Nothobranchius furzeri: one gene and its partners. The protein of the gene in region 1 interacts with the protein of each later gene in a pairwise test. Links are inferred from orthologs where the notes say so. Each region holds a gene or a part of one and is shown in the gene's direction. Other genes may lie near its edges.

Region 1 (5,637 bases):
TAACTCTGCTCTTTGCTCTTGCTCTATCGCGTTCTCTTTTTCTTTTCCTAGATTCCTCTGATAAGGTATTTCTAGCTTTCTTTGGTGGATTTGCCATTGCTCAAGTCTCTAAACCGTGGGTCTACCACAGACATTTGTAGATGTCCTTTGGACTGGTGCTGCCTACTGGAGCTGTCGTAGTGGCCGGCCGCCATTCGTCTCCATTGCATTCATTTCTACTGAAGATGTTTACCCATTTAAAAAAACACATTTTATCAAGCTTTTTCACATAATAAGACAAGAGGTATGACATCATAATTAAAATATAAATATAACCAAACAAAATAAATAGGTAGGCTAGAAAAGTATACGAATCCCACATGATCAGTTTTCAATTGTATGCCATGTGTAACCGTAGGCTGCACAAAAACGGGCATAGTTGCTCACTCTGTTGTAGTTGATTTCGAAGAGTGAGGAGACCCATCCAATATGGCGGCGGCACTGTTAACGCTCTCCAGCGCCCAATGGGGCATCTACGTATTCAGGTCTATGGACGTGATACTGCCATAAAACAACACACAGTCAGTACTTCTGGGGGTGGAAAGCCGGTCAAAACCTGTACAGTGCAGTAAACAGACGTGGGACCCCATAGCACTATCACAGCTCCAAAATGAACATATCATAGAATGCCACCAAAAGCTTTCAAAAATATTATTTTAAAGTGTAAATGTTGCAGATTGTGTCTTTAAGCTAAGGATTTCCTACACATTACTGCTGAGTTTAGATCATTTGGGTTATTAACATGGCAGTAATTTAATTCAATTAAATTTCAATTCAAGTTTATTTATATAGCGCCAAATCACGACAAGAGTCATCTCGAGGCACTTCACATAATAAACATTCCAATACAGGCCAGTTCAGTAAGCCAATCAGTAAAAAGTTTCCTATATAAGGAACTCAGCAAATCGCATCAAGCAATCCTCATACTAAGCAAGCATTTAGCCAGAGTGGAGAGGAAAACTCCCTTTTAACAGGAAGAAACCTCCAGAGGATCCTGGCTCAGTAAATTTTGGCATTTTTTTTGTATTTCTTACACAGAATCTTCTCCTCCAATCTGAAAGAGCGAATGGCTCAGAGGTTTTATAACTTGGTGCTGCTGCCTCGAGTGCGGGACGACATTGCAGAATACAAACGACTAAACTTCCATCTTTACAGCGCCATGAAGAAGGCTTTGTTCAAACCAGGAGCGTGGTTTAAAGGTAGGACTCATACTATTAATCTAATGCATCTGCAGCACATTTAAATTTTTTGCTGAATTTGATGTGTTCCCTTTTAACTGAACATATTTGAGCTAAATCATGACAGTGAAATCAGCGATTCTTTCAGACTGAGTTTGAGAAAAGTACTTTTATTTGAGTACTCGCTGATATGAAGTACCAATACAAGTAGTTATAAATGTCAATATACTCCATAAAATGTACTTATAAACTGTTTATTTTCATGAGGCAAATACAGATGAGGCACTGGTATTGTGTCCTGTAGTGTCGGAGTTTATGAGTGGGAGTACATGCACGTGGTATCGGCCTGATAATCCGATGCCAGTATCAACACCAGTGCATTCCTGAATAAATTATTCCTCACCACATTTTTGATGAAGTAGAGGACACACCCTGAATGGTCTTTAAAGGGAAATTGTTCAACTTTTTCATATTTTTAAATAATTTTCTTGAGCCAGCATGTGCTAAAATGACCGTTTACGGGGTTAATGAGAAGTCACCCAGACGCCACCGCTCCTGTGGCCAGAATATTGCACTTGCAACTTCAAAGTGGTGGGCCGCCACCTGTTGGACTTAAAAATAATAGAGTTGACATGCCTGGTGCTAGGCTGGACCGATTCCTGATCAAAGAAGAGATATTAAATGACAGTTAGTATGGTTTTAGAACAAATCATTCAACATCCATGGCATTAATGGAATTAACAGAAGAAATATCGGAAGCCATTGACAAAAAACTCATCTCATAAGTATCTTTATTGATTTAACAAAAGCATTCGATACAGTGGATCATAAAATTCTTATTAAAAAACTTAGTAAATATGGCATCACAGGGATGGCCCTAAAATGGATAAGTTATCGACGGTGGCACAGGAGTTAAGTGCTCGCCCCGTAATCGGAAGGTTGCAGGTTCGAGCCCCACTCAGTCTGTCGCTGTCGTTGTGTCCTTGGGCAAGACACTTAACCCACGTTGCCTGCTGATGGAGGTCGGAGGGACTGGTGGCGCCAGTGCTCGGCAGCCTCGCCTCTGTCAGTGCGCCCCAGGGCAGCTGTGGTTACACCGTAGCTCATCCCCACCAGCGTGTGAATGTGTGTGTGAATGAGTGAATGACTGATTGTGTTGTAAAGCGCCTTGGGGGGTTCCAGGACTCTAGAAGGCGCTATATCAAATACAGGCCATTTACCATTTACCGATAGGCAGCAATATGTTCAAATAAACAACACAAAATCACATATAAATAACATTACTTGTGGTGTACCACAAGGGTCGGTATTGGGCCCTAAACTATTTATCATTTATATAAATGACATTGTTGAGGTATCCAATATATTAAAATGCACCTTATTTGCAGATGATATAACTTTTTATTATTCAGGAGATAATGTTGAGCAGATGATAGAAGTGATACAAACGGAGATGAAAAAAATTAAACTATGGTTTGATGGGAACAAGCTATCATTAAAGAGTGATAAATCATGTTTTATGATATTTAGTAATACATACATTCAAATGATGACATTTTATTAAATATAGATGAGATTAATATTAAAAGAGTTAAAGAAGTCAAGTATCTGGGAGTCATCATTGATGAAAAAATGTCTTGGAAACTACATATAAACAATGTCAAAACTAAAATATCTAAAACCATTGCACTGTTACATAGAGCAAAATGGTTACTTGATAATAATTCCCTATATTTGTTATATAACTCACTGATCATACCGTACCTGAACTACTGCATTGAAATCTGGGGAACAACATAAAAAATTTACACAAATTCCATTTACATCTTACAGAAAAAAGCAATAAGAATAATCACAAGGAGCAACTACAGAGATCCGTCCAATCCATTATTTATAAAAATTAAAAACACTAAAATTCTATGATCTGGTGGACTACAATATTTTAAAATTTTATGTATAATGCAAACAAAGGGTACATACCTGCAGGATTAATCAAAAGATTTACAAAAAGACATAGCAAATGATTTAAAAGGACACGACTTATTTAATATACCTAGACATCGGATACTCATAAAGGAACATTGTGTGTCCATATATGGAGTTAAAATGTGGAATAAATTAAATACTGAAATCAAGAATGCAAAAACAATATTGACTTTCAAAAAAGAGATAAAAAATGAAATGATTAACTTATATAGATCTGTTACATAAACGCGTGAGGGGAGGGGGGTTGGGGGGGTGAAAGAAAGAAAAAAGGGTAAAAAGGGAACAAGTGTATGTATGCATATGTGTATATGTAAGTATATATGTATATAACTTTATGCTTCTTTCTGTGTAACTTGTTTTCTCTTTTTTTTTCAATTAATGGGTTGAGGTTGTGTCGGCCAACCAGTCCAGAAACTATATTGTTCAAATTTTTTAAGAATCATATGATTGTCGTTGTCGTCTTCCTCCGCTTATCCGGGTCCGGTTCACGGGGGCAGCATCCCAACTAGGGAGCTCCAGACCATCCTCTCCCCGGCCTCCTCCACCAGCTCCTCCGGCAGGAACCCAAGGCGTTCCCGGACCAGATTGGAGATGTAACCTCTCCAACGTGTCCTGGGTCGACCCGAGGGCCTCCTGCCGGCAGGACATGCCTGAAACACCTCCCCAGGGAGGCGTCCAGGAGGCATCCTGACCAGATGCCCAAACCACCTCAACTGACTCCTTTCGATCCGGAGGAGCAGCGGTTCTACTCCGAGTCCCTCCCGAATGTCCGAGCTCCTCACCCTATCTCTAAGGCTGAGCCCGGCCACCCTACGGAGGAAACTCATTTCGGCCGCTTGTATTCGCGATCTTGTTCTTTCGGTCATTACCAAAGCTCAAGACCATAGGTGAGGATTGGGACGTAGATCGACCGGTAAATCGAGAACCTTATTTTAGTTAAAAGGGGCAGATAACATAAGTTTTTCTTCTTTCCGTCCACTTTTTCATTTTGGCTTTTAGCAATTTAGTTTTGTATTTTTATTTTAATTTCAATAAATGAAAATAAAGTTGAAAAAAAAAGTCACGTGGTTTGTGAGATCATCTTTACAGCAGGAGAAAAATCCAAACCGCCCCCTCAAATTCTCAGTGAAAACATCGAGATACAAAAGCTTTTGAAAAGATTCTTTCAAATCCATCAGTGCTTTTATTTATATTTTCCAACTTTGGCACACAGCTGCCAGGCCTGTAAACAGAAAGCACCATGTTTGGTTTTACGAATACTGGACCAGGATCCAGTTTCATGTGACCTTTGGAAGAAACAAGCGTGTGAAGAAGATGAATGAGAGGATTTTGTGTCTTATGTTTCAAAGCAGAAATATCAGGCTGCAGGGGACCTGACACAGTTGTGACTTTTGTACATGATTTATTATTTTTATACTGAGGATGCTAATGGAGGATTAGCTGCTGTCTGTTGAAGGAGTGACACCATTTTTCTGGCTGGATAAAAGTGTTAATTAATAGGTCAAATTAAGCTTTATATGTGGAATCAGATGTTTAAAAACATTCTTTTGATTTCATTTGTTTGAAAACACAAATCCCTGCAGTTTGAAGGGAACATTCTCCTGTTCTCTACCCTTTTATTCTACCCTTTCTCAGTGGCCTAGTGGTAGAGTGTCCGCCCTGAGACTGGGAGATCAGGGGTTCGATTCCTGGTCGGGTCATACCAAAGACTTTGAAAAAATGGGACCCAATGCCTCCCTGCTTGACACTCAGCATTAAGGGGTTGGATTGGGGGGTTAAACCACCAAATAGTTCCAGAGTGCAGCTGTGTCTGCAGCTCCCCCAGGGGATGGGTCAAATGCGGAGAACAAATTTCGCACACACACCTGTGTGTGTGACATCTAATGGGACTTTAACTTTTAACTTTAACAATCCATGACCTGAATTCAAAATAACTTCAGTTTGAGCCTTAAACACTAGGTGGCAGTGTTGCTCTAAGATCCATCATACTGGGAACTAGTGATGGGTGTTTTTCCATCCACAGTTCAGACTAATAAATGGTGGTAGATGATAAACTAACTCCAGTTCTCACCCACTACAGCTTCCATCCTACTGACTGAAACATTTGACACAGATCTTAAAGGATAACTAGACATGCGTGTATGTTAAACACCTTTAATGAAGCTTGAGCCATAATTAATGTATTGTTTCAAACTCAAGCTCCAGCAGAAGGTTTGTTGTTTATTAAAATACCTGTAAGAGTTTTATCTGAAATCCTCTGACCTGTAGATCACTTTGACATTGAAATCAAAATGGTAAAGATCTCTTTAAGCTTCAGTAAATCAATCTTGGTCATATCAAAGCAAATTTAATGAAACTTTCACAATGTGATTTCTGTGTGTTCATCTAAACTAATGAAGCTGTAAACATCAGACTATAGAGATAAACCGATATG
Region 2 (6,315 bases), on another chromosome or scaffold:
CAATCACCCACTTGGTATACAGATCGGTCATGGTCAGGACATATCGGTTCCCTAGACGTGTTTCTGGGAGTGGTCCAATTAAATCCATGCCCAGCACCTCCCAAGGTTCTTTACCTGCAGGTCACAGAACTTATCAAGTGAAAATTTAAAGCTAACCTTCAGCAGACAAGCTTATTAACTTGAAAATTAAATGTAAATAGCTTTAAGATGTACCTTGATGGGATGTAATGTTGGTGCCACGGTCTTGATTGGGTCATTCATCTGGCAGCGATGACAACATCTGACCTGAAAGGCGTATTCCAAACAGTATGTCTAGGAAACCCTAAACCAGTTGATGTAAATTGATAACAAAATAAAAAGACAGAAACTAATGTTGAAATGTAAGTGATTATATAGCCTACAGATGTTTTAGAAAAAATTATGACGACCTGATTTAGCTTCTTCACTCAGAAAAGGCCATTACCCATTCACCGATGTCCTGGTTCAATGTTGGCCAGTAATAGCCAGCAACAACCCTGTTTCGGGTACCTCTGACACCATTGTGGTTCCAGGGTTATTGTGGCATTCCATCCAAACAGACTTCTTCTCCTCCTCTGACATGACTACCAGGCGCATGCTCTGCATACTGGGGCCAGTGTAGAAGAGTCTGCTGTGTGGAACAAGATAAAAATGAAAAAAAGATGAGAGTTGCTGACTAAAGTAAAATGAAATGTCTGACAGATATTAAAGTTTGAGATTGCACCAATATAGTAGCCTAGTGAACTAGACCAAATTCTTGCTTTGCAAAGAACGGTCTAGGCACGCTCCATTGGAACCTCCGCAGCTCCTACCAGGACTCTGGCTGGCCAATCACAGCTCTCTAGAGGGGTTTCAAACACAAAAAGAGCTGTGATTGGTCCATAATGGTGGGCCAATCATAGTGCTCTATCTGCTTAGTGAATGAATCACAGAGCTTTATCCGCTTTGTGGGCCAATCAGGGCACTCTATATGCCTGGTGGGTGGGATGATGCAACAGAGTGAAACAAGAGTATGTCACATTCATTGTCCAGTAGCATGCGGAGATCATTTGAAAGACAACGGTAGAACCCGCCCCACAACCGAGAGCTGTCTATGGAGCATGGCCAGACTAAATAATACATTTATTTAGTCTGGCTTGCCAGGCTAGCAATATGGTACATTTACCTCCAATTGCAATTATCTTTAAAAATGTATGTAGGCTATATCAGAATCAGAAATAATTTTATTGCCAGCGCTCCAGCGAACCAGAGCATAGGAACTTGACTCCACAGAACAGCCTGACCAAGATTACACACACACACACACACACACACACATATAGACAAAACAGATACAGTCCTGAATGGACAGCTGAGAGAGACAGATGACATTCCACACCTTCCAGGAATCGAGCATATATCCCGCTGCGTGTGTCCCGTGAGGGCAAGTGGGAGCCCCCTCCTCCGTTCTCATCGTAGAAAAAATCTTATCAATCACGTTGAATGACCAATTAATTAAATCCATTTCTGAAAAATAGTGATCTCCAGAGGAAATGCAGAGAAGCGCTCTGTAGTCAGACGGGACAAAAAGAGCCTTGGGAGAAAAAGATAAGGGAGCAAAGCAGAAGCGACTGTGCTCTGTGAGTGCCAGGAGAAGAAAAAATATATATGATATTGTATTTATGATTTTTTAAAATCTAAAATAAGCCCACACACCAAGATATAGATCTATACTGTATATAGAATTTCGATATTACAGACGATGCTGCACTGTATACACTGTACACTGATATTACTCGTTACACCCTCCTGAATCAACGCAGGCGTCATGCAACTTTAGAACACTAACGTTGAGTCCGTACCCTCAAGCAGCAAGGGCAGCTGTAGACCATGATAAAAGATCATCTTTAATTTTCGTACTTACCTTTAAGTCTGTAATTAGGCGCCATTCTTCCTATTTTACGGCGCTCTTGTTCAATCGCCGGAAGCTCTCCGTTGAGGAGAAAAGCATGCATTTCTGTGTATTCGGAGATATTACCCGTCAAAAGCAAACATCTGTATTTATTTTCCAAATGTTTCTGACATCTGTGCTTTTTGTGGTTGTAAGGGAGAAAATATTGAACATGTTTTTGTTGATTGCTTTCATGTAACTTTGTTTTGGTTCCATTTACAAAGATTCATTTCCAGAAAGTTAAAAAAATATTTCTTTAAGCAAATATGAAATACTTCTTATTGTTACTAACCCTCATTTATCATCCAATGAAAAATACATAATTAACTTAGTCATTATTTTAGCAAAATATTATTTACATAAAATGATTTTTCAGAAAAGTATCCCCTCCTTCTATAATTTCAGAATTACAGACCTTATGAAATATTGGAACAGCATTGAAAAATTAAAAAAGAAGAACAACAAACTAACAAAGACCATCAACTTATTTCATCATTTCAACTTAGACACAGCAGACCCCTAAGTGTTATGTTTCTACGTTATATATGTTTTCGTCACTATTTTGTTTATTTCTTGTTTTTTTTTTGTTTAATAGTTTCCTAATGTTGCATGTATGTTATTGCTATTGTAAACAACTGTAAAATGTGATCCATGGATATATTGAATGTATTTTCTGAATGTATCGACCACAAGTTAATAAAACCTTTTAAAAAATAAATAAAAAATAAATAAATTTATGTGTATTCGGAGGTTTAAACGTAACGCAGTCTGTAACTGTCGCAAAGTTGGCAAAGAGGAAGTGACGTAAAATTCGCGCATGCGTGTTACGGATCGGGTTTCCGGCACGGGCATCGCCGTCAGCGTGGAAAGACGTTACTTGTGTTTTATGTGAAAGGTCGCTGTCTCTAACAGATACACGGAGGTCGAGTTTTTATAAACATTAAATCAGTGTCAGCTGCTGAAGGAGACGTTTGTGATTCCAGCACAAAATGGTAAGAAGACCTTTTCCTGCTAAGCTAGCCGTGTTAGCTAACAGCAGCTAAGGTGGTGAGCATAACAACAAGTATGTAACAGCTAACGCTCGTTTATATGACTTTAATTCAGCTTTTCTAGATGAGCTGGTGGATGTCGATGACGATCTCAAGCGTGTTTGTTCCTTTTCCCTCCAGAAACATGAATGTTTTGCATAGATTTAGAAAACTTGTTCAGAAAGGAAAAGATGCCTTTTTGTTCACGTCCTCCTGCTCTCATTCAGACAGCAACTCCAGCTGTTATAAGCCATCTTAACTCGGTGGCGTTTATCTGATTTAACATGTTCTAACTAAATGTCGTCTAAATCTGTTCCAGCCTCATCGAAAGAAGAAATCATTCATCGAAAAGAAGAAAGCGGTGACCTTTCACCTGGTCCACAGGAGTCAGAGGGACCCTTTGGCTGCAGATGAAACAGCACCACAGCACGTCCTCCTGCCTGCCACTAAGGTCCAGCTGCAGAGAAAACCTTGTCAGATGTCCCCAAAGACCTGATGTGGTTCTAACAGGACCTTGTGTTTTTCAGGCAGAGGCAGAGAAGAGGCGTGAGGAGCAGAGACAGTTTGGTGTTTTCTTCGATGATGATTATGACTACCTGCAGCACCTGAAGGAGGCGTCGGGCCCCTCAGAGCTGGTCACAGCTGAACCCACGATTCACCGCCGACATGAAGAAGATGAGGAGTGTGAAAAGATTACAGACAAGAATGTTCCTGTGAGTCTCTGTTTAGCCTTACTTCAGCCCTGAAGGTCACGTGTAGGACGTTGTAGTTTAGAGAACGGCAGGTAGTGACCCAGTCGTGTATCTCTGACCATTCTGTTTCTTCCTAACCTTCATAAGAGCTTTATCAGAGGAGTTTCACGTTTTACATTTATTTTGGTTTTATTAACATTGATCAGCTGAGAGGGAGCTGTCAGCCATGTTTATTTACACACCTGAGTGATGCTGGCCGGTGTGATACAAGGACTGATCTAATCCTTGTTGTGCTTTCTGACCAGGAAGCTTCTATCCACCTGCCCTCTTCAGTGTTCGCCTCAGAGTTCGAGGAAGAGGTGGGACTTCTGAACAAAGCTGCACCTGTTTCAGGTAGAGCACCTCAGATCAGGGATGCTTTGATCTGGTCATGTGATCTGATTTCTGATCAGGATTCAAACAATCGGGTGGAAAAGATCAAGCATGAGATTTTCAAACAACGGCTTAGTTTTTATGTTAACAAGTTGCACTACATCAATATTCATGGTTTCATAGACCACACTGACACTGTAACGTCACACAGTTTATGGCAGGTAGGAGCTTGGACACCGTAACATGCACCTTCATCTCCTCACGCTTAGACTACTGTAACTCTCTTTTCACGTGTCTGAGCAGAACCTCCCTGAACCGTCTACAGTAATCCCTCGTTTATCGCGGTAGATGCGTTCCAGACCTGGCCGCGATAGGTGAAAATCCGCGAAGTAGGGACTCCCAGCATGCCCCTCGCGGGGATTCCCTCCACGTCGCACCTACGTCACAAACCGCGGCTATAAACGGAAGTCGCCTTTCCAGCTCACCACTCAGTCATCGTTTCTTCAGATTCATGATCAGTTTCCAACCTACCGATCAATCCAACGAACTATCAGCTCATAGTAAGTTATCTTACTTACTTCTGGAAAGCCCGGCATTTCCGTGTCACTTCGTTGACGCTCGAACGCTCGGGGGTTTCCTAGAGCAGCCGGCGTTTCACCGACGCTATCACTTCCGCGTCTGTGAAACCACGCTCCCTATTGAATTATCGTATGATCAGATTCTCTTTTTGGGGGTAAAACTCAAGAAAAAAATTTTTTTACTTGTTTTTTTTTTGTTTTATTACAAAAAGTGCATTTTATGATGAAATTGATGAAAAAAAACAAGAATTTCTTGATATTTCGCATAGAAAAATACCGCGAATCAGTGAAAAATACCGCGAATCTGCGAATTCCCCCTGAAAAATGCTCCAAAGAAAAAATCCGCGAAGCAGCGAATCCGCGATGAACGAACCGCGAAGTAGCGAGGGATTACTGTACAGGTGGTTCAGAACGCCTGTGCTCGGCTTCTGACCAAGTCCTCCAAACACACCCACATCACCCCGCTTCTCCTCCAGCTTCACTGGCTGCCAGTCAACTTCAGGGTTCATTTCAAGATCCTGGTTCTGGTCTATAGGGCCTTACATGGACAAGCACCATCTTACATTGGTGATCTTCTTAGTCCCTACACCCCCAGCAGGTCCCTGAGGTCCAGTGATCAAAGCTTACTGGTTGTGCAGCACCAGGCTAAAGGTCAAAGGTGACAGATCATCTGCTGCTGTGGCCCCCAGACTCTGGACCTCTCTCCCCCTGAGCCTGAGATCAGTGGACTCAGTGGTCTCCTTTAAACTCACCTGTTCAGGCTTGGTGGGACCTTCATCTCCCTCTCCTGGTTCTGCTCTTGTTCCTTTGAGAGTTCCTGAAAACGCCTCATCTGGCTGGGAGACGCATGCACGTCGGGAAGTTCCTGTAAATTTACCCTGATGCTCCGGTGGTGGAAACAGCTGATGTGTTGTTTCAGGACCCCGACTGGACATGGACCCAGATATCGTGGCAGCTCTGGATGAAGACTTTGACTTCAGCAACCCTGACAACATGCTAGAGGACGACTTCATCATCAGAGCCAACTGTGCAGCCGGAGGCTGGGTGTGAGTAAGTCCTAATGGTTCCGGGTTTAGCTGGTACCTGTGGTCTGAGTGGGAGAAGAAGACCACCACACATCTGCTGACTGACATGTGATGCTGTTATTGATCCTTAAATGTGTGTAAAATTCTGTCTGTGTCAAACATGTGACAGGGAAGGACGTGACGACGACGACGATGATGATGATGAGTGGGAGGACACGGACGATGGAGACTTTGACTCAGAAGGAGGATTTTCAGGAGATGAACACGCTGAAGGAGGTGGTGGAGAGTTGCTGTTCATGGACGAGGAGACGAAGAGTCGCTTCACAGAGTACTCCCTGTCTTCGTCTGTGATGAGGAGGAACCAGCAGCTCACCCTGCTGGACGAGCGCTTTGAAAAGGTGATGGTCCACCCAGAGTCAGTCTCTAGCACCAGTCCTAGAGGACAGGGCTGCGTAGAGCTCCCTTCACCGCTGCGCCAAGCCCGTGCACACATCACTAACGGTGTGGAAAACCCTTCTCTAAACACCTCAGGCTGCAGCCTACAACCTTACGACCCCTGCTTCACTGTTCATGTGTGACAATTTAGGAATTTCAGCCTGAATAGGGAGCCTAAGCCACGCCCATCTACTTCTGGACCACGGGTCCCAGAAGAACAAAAATGAATATAACGAA
Region 3 (6,125 bases), on another chromosome or scaffold:
CTCTTGAGGGAAGTTCGCTGAACTTGCAGCCATTGCCCCACTGTTTTTCTCCTTGTCTGGGTCGATGACGTCACTTTTGTGAAGCCCATTTGTTGTCCTGGACTTATTTCCAGACAAACCCTAAAATAACGTTTCTCCCTGTTCGAAAATAAGCGCGTTCTTACTATCAAACTGTGTCTTTCAAATTTAGGGCATTCATTTTTTCATTCTTCCGGAGACCCATGGTCTGGAAGTGGATGGGCTAGCATACCATCATGGAAAATTACATCTTTATTAAGGACACACTTTGAGATACAACCCATATAGTTTAAAAAGTCAGACATCATGGAGGATTTACCCAACGTTGAAGTGATCGACATGAACAATTTCTTGCTGCGTACCTCATATTACACTGCAAACCAAATGAAAGCCTTTTATAAGCCTGGAGGCCTACAGCTATGTTATTTCAGGTTGGCTTAACCATTTAGTGATCCAGAGAAGCTTTAAATGACCGTCGTATTGTTTTTGCTCAGGTAAGTAGTGAGGTGTGCTAACTGATTGTAATTCCTCAGCTCATGATAATAATGCTTCCGCTAACGTGGAGTAGGTTTATGTGCAAAGATCTACTTGTAAATAACTTTTTAAATCCAAATTGATTATACATTTGTTTGATTTAAATGAGGTATAAACACCACGTTACAAAGCTAAGCTACCTGCTAGCATTATCACTCTGAAAGATATTTGTGGTACAAATAAGTTGGGACACATGAAAACCGTATCAAAACTGTTTCCTGCCATTTTTATGGCATTTAGTCGACCCATAACCTTTCAGCGCCCCTTGTTCTTAAGCCTGATTCATGCTTCTCCGTCTGCGTCAGTGCGGAGACACGCAACGCCATTGTCCGTCCTTGCGGGCTTGCTGGAGAGCTCCGCAAGGACGGATGGAGTTGAGCTCTCTTTTCTAAACATCCGTCCATCGAAACGGATAACGCAAGCTTGTGATTGGTCAGGACGCAGCTGTCATCTACACCGCCGCCATTGCGCCCTCAAAAACATAAAGAGAGCCGAGGATAACTAGCGGCAGACACGGAGCAGCTTGAAGAATACCTCGCGAAAAAACTCTAAAAACATGAATTTTTAATTCCCCCGTGACTGGAGGAGTGAAAAGATACATAGCAAGCGATTTATTTGTGAACGGAAATGACAGGAAACGTGGGTTTAGAGGTGGCGAGTGCATGAAGAGGTGGAGGAGGATGAGAGACAAATTTGTCTGTGCTAAAAAGTCTCTTACATACAAAAAAAAAACAATATAAACACACTATCTTGGACCGGATACATGACAAGATACCACAGAACAGCGCTACGCCCTCTGTTGTCCTGGTGGGGAATTGCTTTGCAACACTCCCCAGGAGACGGAGAAGTATGAGGGCAAAACATCTCCGCCCGTGCGTGCGTGTCTCTCCCTTTTGGAGCTGACGGAGAAGCATGAATCAGGCTTTAGCCGGAGGTCCACTTCTGTCGTCCTCTTTCAGTAAGATTTTTTAAATTGGGTTTTTTGTGGCTCACTACTTTTGGGACACGAAAAAAAACATTTGTGCTTGTCATGACTAGAGTGATTACAACAACCGTAGATGGAACAGAGTTTGGGGATTTTGACGCCGAGTCAACAGAGTAATGCATTTGGTGACGTGGACGCTACGCCATGTGAGACCCAGTAATGGAGGCAATAGAGACCCACTTGGTTGCAGCAGTCAGACACTTGAGCTGACAAAGCAGCGCATTAGGGAATGAAAACAATTTTATTTATTTTTTAAGGGTGCAATTTGGCCAATGATATTTATAGCTGTGGGTAGGGCTGGGCGATACGGCCTAAAATCAATATCACGATATATTGAGGAGTTCACCATAATGGCGATAAATGGACGTTAACTACAGGTATGTGTAGAAACAAAAGTTGTCCACTAGATGGGGCTGTCACATGTATTACGTTGAGTCACATTTTTACGAGACTCGAGGTGGACATGAATGTTGCCAACCTGCACACATCTTTTCATTTTTTTATTATCAGATTTATTGACATGGGGACAATGATCTCGATAAGAGTCAGAAATTTCGATGATGATACATTTTCAATTTATTGCCCAGCCCTAGCTGTGGGTGTGTTTCGCTCATTTTCTGCCCCTCACTTACCCTCTTGTGCATGTGAGACATTCTGATTAGCCGGCTTCCTGCAACAGCGTAATGCATTTTATTGTAATGTGTACTTAAAAGTGCGACTTCTCTTTTAAAAAGAACGCTTGAATTTTTCTGATGGCTGAAACCTTTGCAGAGTTATGGTAAATCAAGTATACGTGTAAAATATTTAGGCTTTTGTCCGCCTTGTTAAACAACAGTGGGGGAAACTGTTGAAGCCAAATTCAAAATGACTCGAAGGACTTGAAGCCTGAATGCACCTCTCCTGACATCATCACAGGCAACAGTCATTCCGAGCTTGAGGTAAAAATAAAGAATTAAAGTTTTAATGGAGGATTACCTGTGGATTAGACAACAATAACAGAGAGGAGGACAAGGTTCATGTGTTCTTATCAGTTCTGTGGAAGTACAGCGTTGGCAGGGTAGGGACGGGACCAGGACAGAGGTGAGACAGCTGAGGAATAAATGAGAAAGCGACAGGATTACGGGACACCTGTGTGCCTCACTCACCTGGATCCTGTCCCAGGCTGAGCTCACCTGTGGGACAGGAACATGTTGGTCCTCTCCATGCTGGTTTTGCTCACACTCTACAGCCTCCTCAGGAGGAGCAACAACCAACTCAAAGGTAGCTCAGAGCATGGAGGTGATGCTAATGGACCAGGACAAAGTGGCGTGAAGGCTGTGAGGAAGAGGAAGGGGGTCCGTGTACGATGTGTCTCCTCATCCAGCAGGAGGCCAGTTGAGGTGAGGAGGTCAAGGTCTGGAAATATTCTGAGATTTTAAACATTTCTGCAAATCAGGATAGAAAAGGGGGTGTTAGACAGAAAATGGTCTTTGTCCTCAGAACTTCCATGAACCCTTGTGCAGCCTTACTTCTCAGTCTGGCCAGTTTGAAGTGAGCTGGTCCCAGTTCACAGCTGAGTTCTCCACTTAGTGACGGTGGCTCAAGGGTTAGGAGTTCGCCCTGTAGCCGGTTCAAACCCCAACTGCGTTTCGATCGTAGTTGTGTCCTTTGGCCGGACACTTCACCATAAGTGTCCAAATTCAAGAGCTGCATCAATCATGCCTAATCGGTCTGCGTAGCCTTGTCTTTTTGTTGAGCAAGTTTGCGCATGTGTGAGTATATTTTTAGCTGTTTTAATTTTATTTTTTCTGGTTTCCAGAACAAGTGATCTAGGCAGCTGGTTCTGTGCTGGGTTCTGCACGAAGGGCCATTTTAGTCTGAATTTTTTGAAGCCAACAAGGAGTGGCAAAAATTGCAGTTCCACCCTCATCTGCTAGGGGCTGGCACCAGAGCAGAGCAAGTTCCCGTTGACTCCCATGTAAAAAATGCTAATTTCACAGCAGAAATAAACATGTTTACAGCCTGGTTCAAAAAACATTTTAGGTTTAATAGATATGGGCCAAAGGGGTCGGGTGCAGTGTGTGACGGGTGGTAGTCGAGGGCGGGGACCTTGTCGGTCTGATCCTCGGCTACAGAAGCTCTTTGGTGGGGAAGGAGCCTGAGTTGGTGTGTGAGGTTGAGAGGTTCCAACTAGATATAGTCGGACTCACCTCAGCGCATGGCTCTGGCTCTGGAACCATTTTCCTTGAGAGGGGTTGGACTTTCTACCACACTGGAGTTGCTCCCACTGAGAGGCGCAGAGCAGGGGTGGGCATACTAGTTGCCCCCCCATCTTGGTGCCTGTACATTGAGGTTTACCCCTGTGAATGAGAGGATAGCCTCCCTCCGCCTACGTGTGGGGGGACGGGTTCTGACTGTGGTCTGTGCTTATGAACCAATCTACAGTTCAGACTACCCACCCTTTTTGGAGACCTTGGAGGGGGTGCTGGAAAGCGCTCGCTCCGGTGACGCCCTCGTTTTGCTGGGGGACTTAAACGCTCATGTGGGCAACGACAGTGAGACCTGAAGAGGTGTGGTTGGGAGGAACGGCCCCCCGATCTGAATTTGAGTGGTGTTTTGTTATTGGACTTCTGTGCCAGTCATGGATTGTCCATAATGAACACCATGTTCAGACATAAAGGTGTCCATATGTGCTCTTGGCAACAGGATACCTTAGGCCGCAGCTCGATGATCGACTTTGTTGTTGTTTCATCTGACCTGCGGCCGCATGTCTTGGACACTCGGGTGAAGAGAGGGGTGGAGCTGTCAACTGACCACTACCTGGTAGTGAGTTGGCTCAGTTGGTGGGGGAGGATGCCGGTCAGAGCAGGCAGGTCCAAACGCATCACGAGGGTTTGCTGGGAACGTCTGGCAGAGTCTCCTGTCAGAAGGAGCTTCAATTCCCACCTCCGACAGAACTTCCAAAATGTTCCGGGGGAGGCGGGGGACATTGAGTCTGAATGGACTCTGTTCCATACCTCCATTGTTGAGGCGGCCGACCAGAGCTGTGGTCGCAGGATCGTCGGTGCCTGTCGTGGTGGAAACCCCCGAATCCGCTGGTGGACACTGGCGGTTAGGGATGATGTCAAGCTGAAGAAAGAGTCCTATCAGGTCTTTTTGGCCTGTGGGACTCCAGAGGCAGCTGACGGGTACCGGCAGTCCAAGCGGAACGCAGCTCGGGTGGTCGCCAAGGCAAAAACCCAGACATGGGAGGAGTTTGGTGAGATCATGGAGCAAGACTTCCATACGGCTTCGATGAGATTGTGGTCCACCATCCGGCGCCTTGGGGGGAGAAGCAGTGCGCTACCAACAATATCTATAGTGGGGACGGTGTGCTGCTGACCTCTACTCAGGCAACACATTCTCACATCCAAGGTGTCAAAATATGACGCGTGTGACCAAGCCTCAATATATGACGATTCAGGACGCCCCAGCGCGTCAGGAGACGACGATCAGGGAGAAACTGCTGACGCAGCGTCCCAGAGCTCGGTATCCAACGCTGGTGCTGAGACGGACATTAGAACTACTTGTGAACTACTTAACCTTCCCCTCACCCCAATCCTAACCTTAAGGTCACAGTTTATGGACCTTAAGGTTAGGGTTAGGATTGGGGTGAGGGGAAGGTTAAATAGTTGAATAATGTCCGTATGACCGCCCGCGTCAAACAGTGACGCCAGCAGAGCCACGTGTCCTAGCGTGTCCCTGATCATCGTCTCCTGACGCGCTAGGGCATCCCGAATCGTCATATATTGAGGCCTGATCACACGCGTCATATTTTGACGCCTTGGGTGTGAGAATGTGTTGACTCAGGACGTTGTGGATCAGTGGGCAGAATACTTCGAAGACCTCCTCAATCCCACTGAAACGTCTTCCAGTGAGGAAGCAGAGTTTGAGGACTTTGGGTTGGCCTCTCAAATCTCTGGTCCTGAGGTCACTGAGGTGGTTAAAAAGCTCCTCTGTGGCAAGGCTCCAGGGGTGGATGAGATCCGCCCGGAGTTCCTTTAGGCTCTGGATGTTGTGGGGCTGTGTTAGCTGACGCGGCTCTGCAATATCGCGTGGACATCAGGGTCAGTCCCACTGGACTGGCAGACCGGGGTGGTGGTCCCCTTATTTATAAAGGGGGACCGCAGGGTGTGTTCCAACTTTAGGGGGATCACACTCCTGAGCCTTCCTGGTAAGGTCTATTCAGGGGTTCTGGAGAGGAGGGTCCGTCGGATTGTTGAACCTCAGATTCAGACGGAGCAATGTAGTTTTCGTCCTGGCCGTGGAACACTGGACCATTTCTATACCCTTAGGGGGATCCTGGAGGGTGCGTGGGGATTTGCCCAACCAGTCTACGTGTGTTTTGTGGATTTGGAGAAGGCGTTTGGCCACGTCCCTCGGGGGGCCTTGTGGTGGGTACTCCGGGAGTATGGGGTACCAGGCCCTCTGATATGGGCTGTTAGGTCCCTGTACGACCGGTGTCAGAGCTTGGTCCGCATTGCCAGCAGTAAGTCGGGCTCGTTCCCAGTGAGAGTTGGACTCCGCCAAGGCTGCCCTTTGTCACCAGTTCTGTTCATAACCTTTATTG
Region 4 (6,286 bases), on another chromosome or scaffold:
CTCCACAAGGGGACTAAAAATCCAACAGGGAAGTAGCCTAGTGAACTAGACCAAATTCTTGCTTTGCAAAGAGGCATGCTCCATTGGAACCTCAGCAGCTCCTACCAGGACTCTGGCTAGCCAATCACAGCTCTCTAGAGGGGTTTCAAACACATAAAGAGCTGTGATTGGTCCATAATGGTGGGCCAATCATAGTGCTCTATCTGCTTAGTGAACAAATCACAGAGCTTTATCCGCTTTGTGGGCCAATCAGGGCACTCTATATGCCTGGTGGGTGGGATGATGCCACAGAGTGAAACAAGAGTATGTCACATTCATTGTCCAGGGGAATGCGGAGATCATTTGAAAGACAACGGTAGAACCCGCCCCACAACCGAGAGCCGTCAATGGAGCATGGCCAGACTAAATAATACATTTATTTAGTCTGGCTTGCCAGGCTAACAGGGAAGTACTTTATCGAGCCTTTCTGTGTATACAGGTTCAAACAAGAGTCCCCAGTGAATGTTTTCTGTTTTCTGTTACATTGTACTTCACAATAAGGTTACTTTCCAATGTAGACGCTACCATGAAACTGATCTGTGTACTGTGAAGCTGTCTCGTTTGTGTGCAGGGATTAGATATTCTGGATTTAAGAGGCCGTTGTCTAAGAGTGATCATGGATTTACAGATCGATACGCTGACTCGAGCTCATTTGATATGATTCACACCTGGAAAACATTTAAAACTTTCACTGGGCTAAAACAAAGCCTGTTACATACTTGACCAGCTACAACAACCACTCTGCACTCTCCAACTGAAGGTCACAACCTCAACCTGTTGTTGCCTTTAGATTAAAAATAAAATACGAATGCAACCAAAACCCTGACAGCAGACTGACAAATGTGTTTACTTTTGCTCTTCACTTTGCAATCCAGATGTATCCATTTACACACACATACTCACACACTGTTTACTGCACATTCCCACACAGTCAAAGACACCTGGGAACATGTAGGACTCGTCGCAGCTGGAAGGCGCTGCAGCATGTGGACCATGACCTGATTTGTAGTTGAATGCTCTAAATCAGAAAAGATGAGAGCTGTTTATGATCAGACACGAGGAACGAGAGCACAGATGAATCTTTTGTGGCTAACACTGCAGCTTTTGCCTCATGTCCTCCTCTTTCACATCAAATTATTTTATAAATCTGATGTATTAGATGATGTATATTTTTTTAATACCACATCAGCTTTGCTTTCATCGCATTGGCTGAAAGAGCTCTCATTTAATACAGGTGATAAATTAAAGTATCGCCTAAAGCCATCAATCATTCAAAGTATAGATAAAATATTTGAGTTATAAAGGAAAATAAATAAACAAAGAATAACAGCAACCAAGCAATGAGGCATGGAGGAATTTTGTCCGACAGTTTTTTTTTTTACTGAATTGAGTTATTTCAGCCTTAGTCGTGCTGGTTTTCCAGCAGGTTTAAGTTCAAAGATCAGATATTTGTATTTATTTATTTATTTTTAATGTATTTATTTCATTGAAAATAAAAACAAATAAAACGTATAAACAATAAGATATACACAACAACAAAAAATCAAATTTGAATGAAAAGGAGCATGAATGAAGACAAACATCTCATAATTTATGCCCCCTTTTCCAGAATCTATTTACATACAATACAATATATAATTTCCATTTGTCAGATACACATAAAGATTCATTTTAAACTTTTTCCTGCTCTTAATTCCAGAGCGATCATGATCATTGATTTAATTTATATTTTCATAATTATTTAGTACACTCAATTTGGTACATTTTTTGAATATATTAAATGACAGTTTTTTCTATTTCCCTTTTAAGGTTATTCTCCTAAAGCGAGCTATTGCTTAAGCATCATAAAAAATATCTGTGGCTCATTTTATAATGGAGAATGTGTCTTCATCTTGAATCTGGTTTTCTTTTGCAAATCATAATGCATTTCCCATTTACGGACCACATATAACCCATCTGCTGTCTGAGGAGCATTCATTGTAGATTGTAGATCACTCTGATTTTATGGGAGTTTCTATATCTGGTAAGAGATCTGTTTTTACCGCACCTATAATAAATTATTTGACAGAATATTGAAAGAAGCTTAAATGAAAAAAGATAATATTTTAAATTTGATTATATTTCTTAATACTATCAGCATTAGGCGGAGATGAAGTACAGTTATATTATTTAATATGTATTATTACTAGTTGCTATTTTTTGTCCTGTGTTATGTTAAAGAACCTGAACATTATGAAACTTGCACTCAATTTATTCAACTTCTTTGCAGTGGTTTAACTGTGGCGTGTGAGTGTGTTAATAAATAGATGGCAAAACAAGAGATGCTCCAACAGAACTAGAAAGTGGTGAAAAGTTGCACAAGATAAAAAAAATTACATAACCCAAATGTTACATAATTCATAGAAAAATAAAGCACAAAAGGTGTTCCAAAATCAAGTTATAAAATCTTGTATGACTGTTATTTATTTTTCAGACTTGTTTCTGACATGCTTTGCATCCAGCTTAACAGATATGTAGCAGAAAGCAGATTTTCTTTTTATTTTATTGATAATGAATTAGGATCTGTGAGGGCGCCTAAATCAAGCGCTGTTTGTGGACTTTAATGCGCATCTTCCGCAGTTATGAAACTTTGCAGCGCAGGTTTTGTAACCGAAACGTCCTGACCAATCACGAGACGCGTTTGTGATCACGTGACCAGGTGTTCTTTTTTTTTTTACATAACAATCGAGTATCTTTGACAAAACCCGTCAGACTAGAGGACCGGGGCACTACAGAGATGTATAAACATATCGATAGAAGAAAAGCTGGACGTAAATAGCGTCTCATAAACATTTCAATGTCATAATGTCGCTAAAACAGTATGTGGCGGACACACCGGAGGAGAGGAGCGCCTTCTTTATCGGCGCTGACGGGGACAATAATGTCTCTGAAGCGGAGGACGGCCACCGTGAACTTATACTTCAGAAAGGCAACGCTTTAGCATCCGAGGACTGCCTAAAGGAGGCTATTGACTGGTTCTCCGCGGCGATGCGCTACGGCCCTGTGCGTCCGGAGCAGCTAAGCACTTTTGTGGATTGTATCCTCCGCAACTTCAAGAGGAAAGCGGCCGGGTCAGATGCCTCCACGGGCCGGAGTCGAGACTCCGAGTCGGGAGGTGTGGACGCGTTGTTGGACTGTCCCAGCTGTCTCTGCTTCCTGGACGAGCCTGTCACCCTAGCCTGTGGACACTCGTACTGTAGAAGGTGTTTACGTAGACGGCTCGTCCTCAAATGTAAGCTGTGCGGCGAAGCCGTCGCCGGCAAGGAGAAAGTGAACGTAACCCTATGTGGACTTTTAGAGAAATGGTTTCCCGGCGAGCTGAAAGAGTGGAAAAAATTACGCGAAGTGGATTCTCTGTGTAAAAGAAAACGCTACAGAGAAGCTGTGTCGCTAGCTAGCGAAGTTCTGCACTCAGGTGAGTGTCATCATCTCTCATCACACCGGTGTTGAACAGAAAAAGGTGTGTCTGCGGCGCACCGTCAGCTAGCAACAGGAACATTTAGGAGGTAAAGCTGAGTTGTAACTACTAGAACAGGAGAATGTTTGGTTCAGTAAAATCTCTGGTGTCCGTGGGCCTAGAGGGAGAAGTTCAGCGAGTTCTTCTGACCAATATTTTGAAAACCATGTGTTGTGACTGTCAGCCTCCTGCATGGCCCGGCTTACGAAATTCGACCGTCTGCGCATGCGCACCCAAGTTGCATAAGTCAGGGTCGTGACACTTTTGTAGGTTTTGTAACTTGCAAAACCGGAAGGGCATTTTATGTTGTAATTTTCCAGCTGTTGCGGACCACGCTTTCATAAATACGGAGCATACCTGAATTAAAAGTCCAGTTAGCATGAAACCCTAGTCCACACAAACGCTTCTGTAACATTATGTAATGGTAAGAATAATCCAGGCCCAGTTTGTGTCTGGGTACAGTTCAAAACATCTAGTGGGAGATATATTTTTCTAGAAAACATGACTGAAGTGAAACTATTAATTTACAAAATACAGTACATTCAAAAATATGACTGCTCAGCTCTGAAAAGTAACTTGTCAAGCAAGAGAATAAAAATACAAGTTTTGATGTATTTTTAGATCAATGCAATCTAATTCAAAAATTTGCATTGGAAAAAAAAGTTTGTTTTCTTAATTAATCTAAGTAACAAACAGCTGTGCACAAACAAGCACTTGTATTTAATGCTGCTCTGATCATTTTTGCATTATAGTGTGACATAAAGATTGAGATTTGTTTACTGGCAGGGGTGAAAATCCCTCATCATTGTTGGGGGAGGGGGGGGGGGCATTAGACAGTAAACATTTCAGGAGTAATTCCTGAGGGGGGCATTAAAAAAAGCTTTTTTTCCCCATGTGCTGATGTGTCTTAAATGTCTCATATAGTATTAAATAATAGCTGTTGTTCTTTATTAGTCCATATATAGTCCAGAACTGTCTACAGGTTTTTGGATGCTCTACCAATAATACTAGGAGTAGTAATACTAGGAAAGGAAGATGTCAGTTGGGTGTCTGAGTGCTGCTGCTGGTAGAAGGCTGCTCATCATGACCTGCTGTGTCCCTGTCCCCTGTGCAGTCATATGATGCTCTGCTTGGTCCTTCCACCAGTGACCCTGATTCTGAACAGTCTGCCTCCTAAAATAGACAAGTTGTTTTCCAAGCTCAAACCCGCAACTACACAAAACACACATCATTAGTTTAAGTAGTCTAAAGACAGAATTCTCCTTATTTCATGACACGAACCAAAATCTCAAACTCACTTCAGGCTGTGTGTCTCTGCTTGACTGGCTCCATATAGTTTGATCCAGTGGAGTGCCAAATTAGTGGCATGAATAACACTGTAATAACATCGTAATAACCCTATGTTAGTTCTCAGATGTGTATCCCTCAATACCTTTTTAGTCAGGTGGACTCTCGTTCACTGGTCTGTGATATAGTAATACCATTAAATAAATAAAGGGATTGCAGCGCAATGGAAGGAGAACTGTGTCAGAGAAAGAGAAACAAAGTCAGAATAGGAGAGACAGAGTCAGAGAGAGGTGTCTGTTCGGACTAGAACTCTCTCCCGCCGGATCAGGCTGTACACTCTGTCCCCCCTTCACTCCCTCCACTATGGGAGGTGTAACCCTACAGAGGGAAGAAAGAAAGGAGAAGAGTTGGAATGGGAACCATCTTTTCACAAGTGAAAAAGAATGGGTACCATCTAGTGTTCAAAGGATTGTGAATCACGTTTGTTTTTCGACATTCTGGGTAAATTGTGGCGTCAGGATTGGGGTATTCTGGTAAGTCAATATCCTGGAATTGTAAAGAGCCCGTTCTTCCGAAGGCACTGGCTAGTGCTAATGATACCATTATTAAACATATCCAAAACATACCATTTGTTTATATTGATATTAATAACAAATTGCCTTAATATTATTCAAATCGTTCAACTTACTTGGCATTTTGGTGAACTGAAAAATGACCTGATGTCTTTAATTTGTCGTTTCTCTGCCATTTTGACCTGACTAGAAGCTGCCAGACCATTGGACAATAACAAGAACACAGGTTTTAGATTTAGAGGAGGTTCAGTACCCAGCTGATAATGTTTATTTGGCCTACATTTAGCTTTTCCTGCTGTAAAAGAACACTATTTTTGCATGAATGTGTACGTAACAAGTCCAGAACACTGTGAACTTACTAAAAAGATGTTTGACTTAAAAATTGATATAATTAGAGGAAAATATGGAGTGGAAACTACCAGTCGGAACGTTACAAAAGGAATATCTGTTGAACGGAATATCTAAGTCAAAGGTAAAGTCAAAGGTTTAAAAAAAAAGACAAAATCTGAAATAGAAAATTAGATTGTAAGTAATAATATCCAACATGAATGTAAAAATCTGGACAATATCTGACTACAGAAATGTAAAATCAAAGTGAAACAAGTTAGTCTAATATTTGTGACATTAATGAGAGGATGATGGCAGTATGTCAGCTGTCTATCCTCTCTTGCTGTCTGTTCTTTATATACATATCTGTCTTTCTCTTTTTGTTCTCTCTCCTTTCTCTTTAACCCAGCGTTAATATAAATACACCATGCTGCTTAAGCTAACAATATGTTAAGCGTGCCAGACTTCACACAAAGGAGCTGAGCTGTAGCTTTATGTGTATTGTGTTGTGCTTGTTAAACAAGTGTAGTGACCAATAACCTTTTTTTTTTCCCATTAAAAGCAC

Evidence for each region. The genes of interacting proteins can lie anywhere in the genome.
Region 2: the proteins of bysl (region 1) and ltv1 interact in binary tests that used the Homo sapiens proteins (3 or more experiments, as listed by UniProt). The two-hybrid records come from large-scale screens. The link is inferred for Nothobranchius furzeri from reciprocal best matches to the Homo sapiens genes BYSL and LTV1.
Region 3: the proteins of bysl (region 1) and kifc3 interact in binary tests that used the Homo sapiens proteins (3 or more experiments, as listed by UniProt). The link is inferred for Nothobranchius furzeri from reciprocal best matches to the Homo sapiens genes BYSL and KIFC3.
Region 4: the proteins of bysl (region 1) and lonrf1 interact in binary tests that used the Homo sapiens proteins (3 or more experiments, as listed by UniProt). The two-hybrid records come from large-scale screens. The link is inferred for Nothobranchius furzeri from reciprocal best matches to the Homo sapiens genes BYSL and LONRF1.

What each region holds. Positions count from the first base shown.
Region 1 is NC_091743.1:46,641,561-46,647,197, reverse strand, and holds part of bysl (bystin), read left to right. Parts: intron 1-1,077; coding exon 1,078-1,238; intron 1,239-5,637. UniProt on the Homo sapiens protein: Required for processing of 20S pre-rRNA precursor and biogenesis of 40S ribosomal subunits. May be required for trophinin-dependent regulation of cell adhesion during implantation of human embryos.
Region 2 is NC_091747.1:66,351,461-66,357,775, forward strand, and holds the start of ltv1 (protein LTV1 homolog), read left to right. Parts: upstream 1-2,779; 5' UTR 2,780-2,937; coding exon 2,938-2,940; intron 2,941-3,295; coding exon 3,296-3,427; intron 3,428-3,503; coding exon 3,504-3,689; intron 3,690-3,973; coding exon 3,974-4,061; intron 4,062-5,537; coding exon 5,538-5,664; intron 5,665-5,812; coding exon 5,813-6,041; intron 6,042-6,315. UniProt on the Homo sapiens protein: Essential for ribosome biogenesis.
Region 3 is NC_091749.1:65,918,251-65,924,375, forward strand, and holds the start of kifc3 (kinesin-like protein KIFC3), read left to right. Parts: upstream 1-2,589; 5' UTR 2,590-2,724; coding exon 2,725-2,916; intron 2,917-6,125. UniProt on the Homo sapiens protein: Minus-end microtubule-dependent motor protein. Involved in apically targeted transport. Required for zonula adherens maintenance.
Region 4 is NC_091746.1:77,573,579-77,579,864, reverse strand, and holds the start of lonrf1 (LON peptidase N-terminal domain and RING finger protein 1), read left to right. Parts: upstream 1-2,750; 5' UTR 2,751-2,883; coding exon 2,884-3,493; intron 3,494-6,286.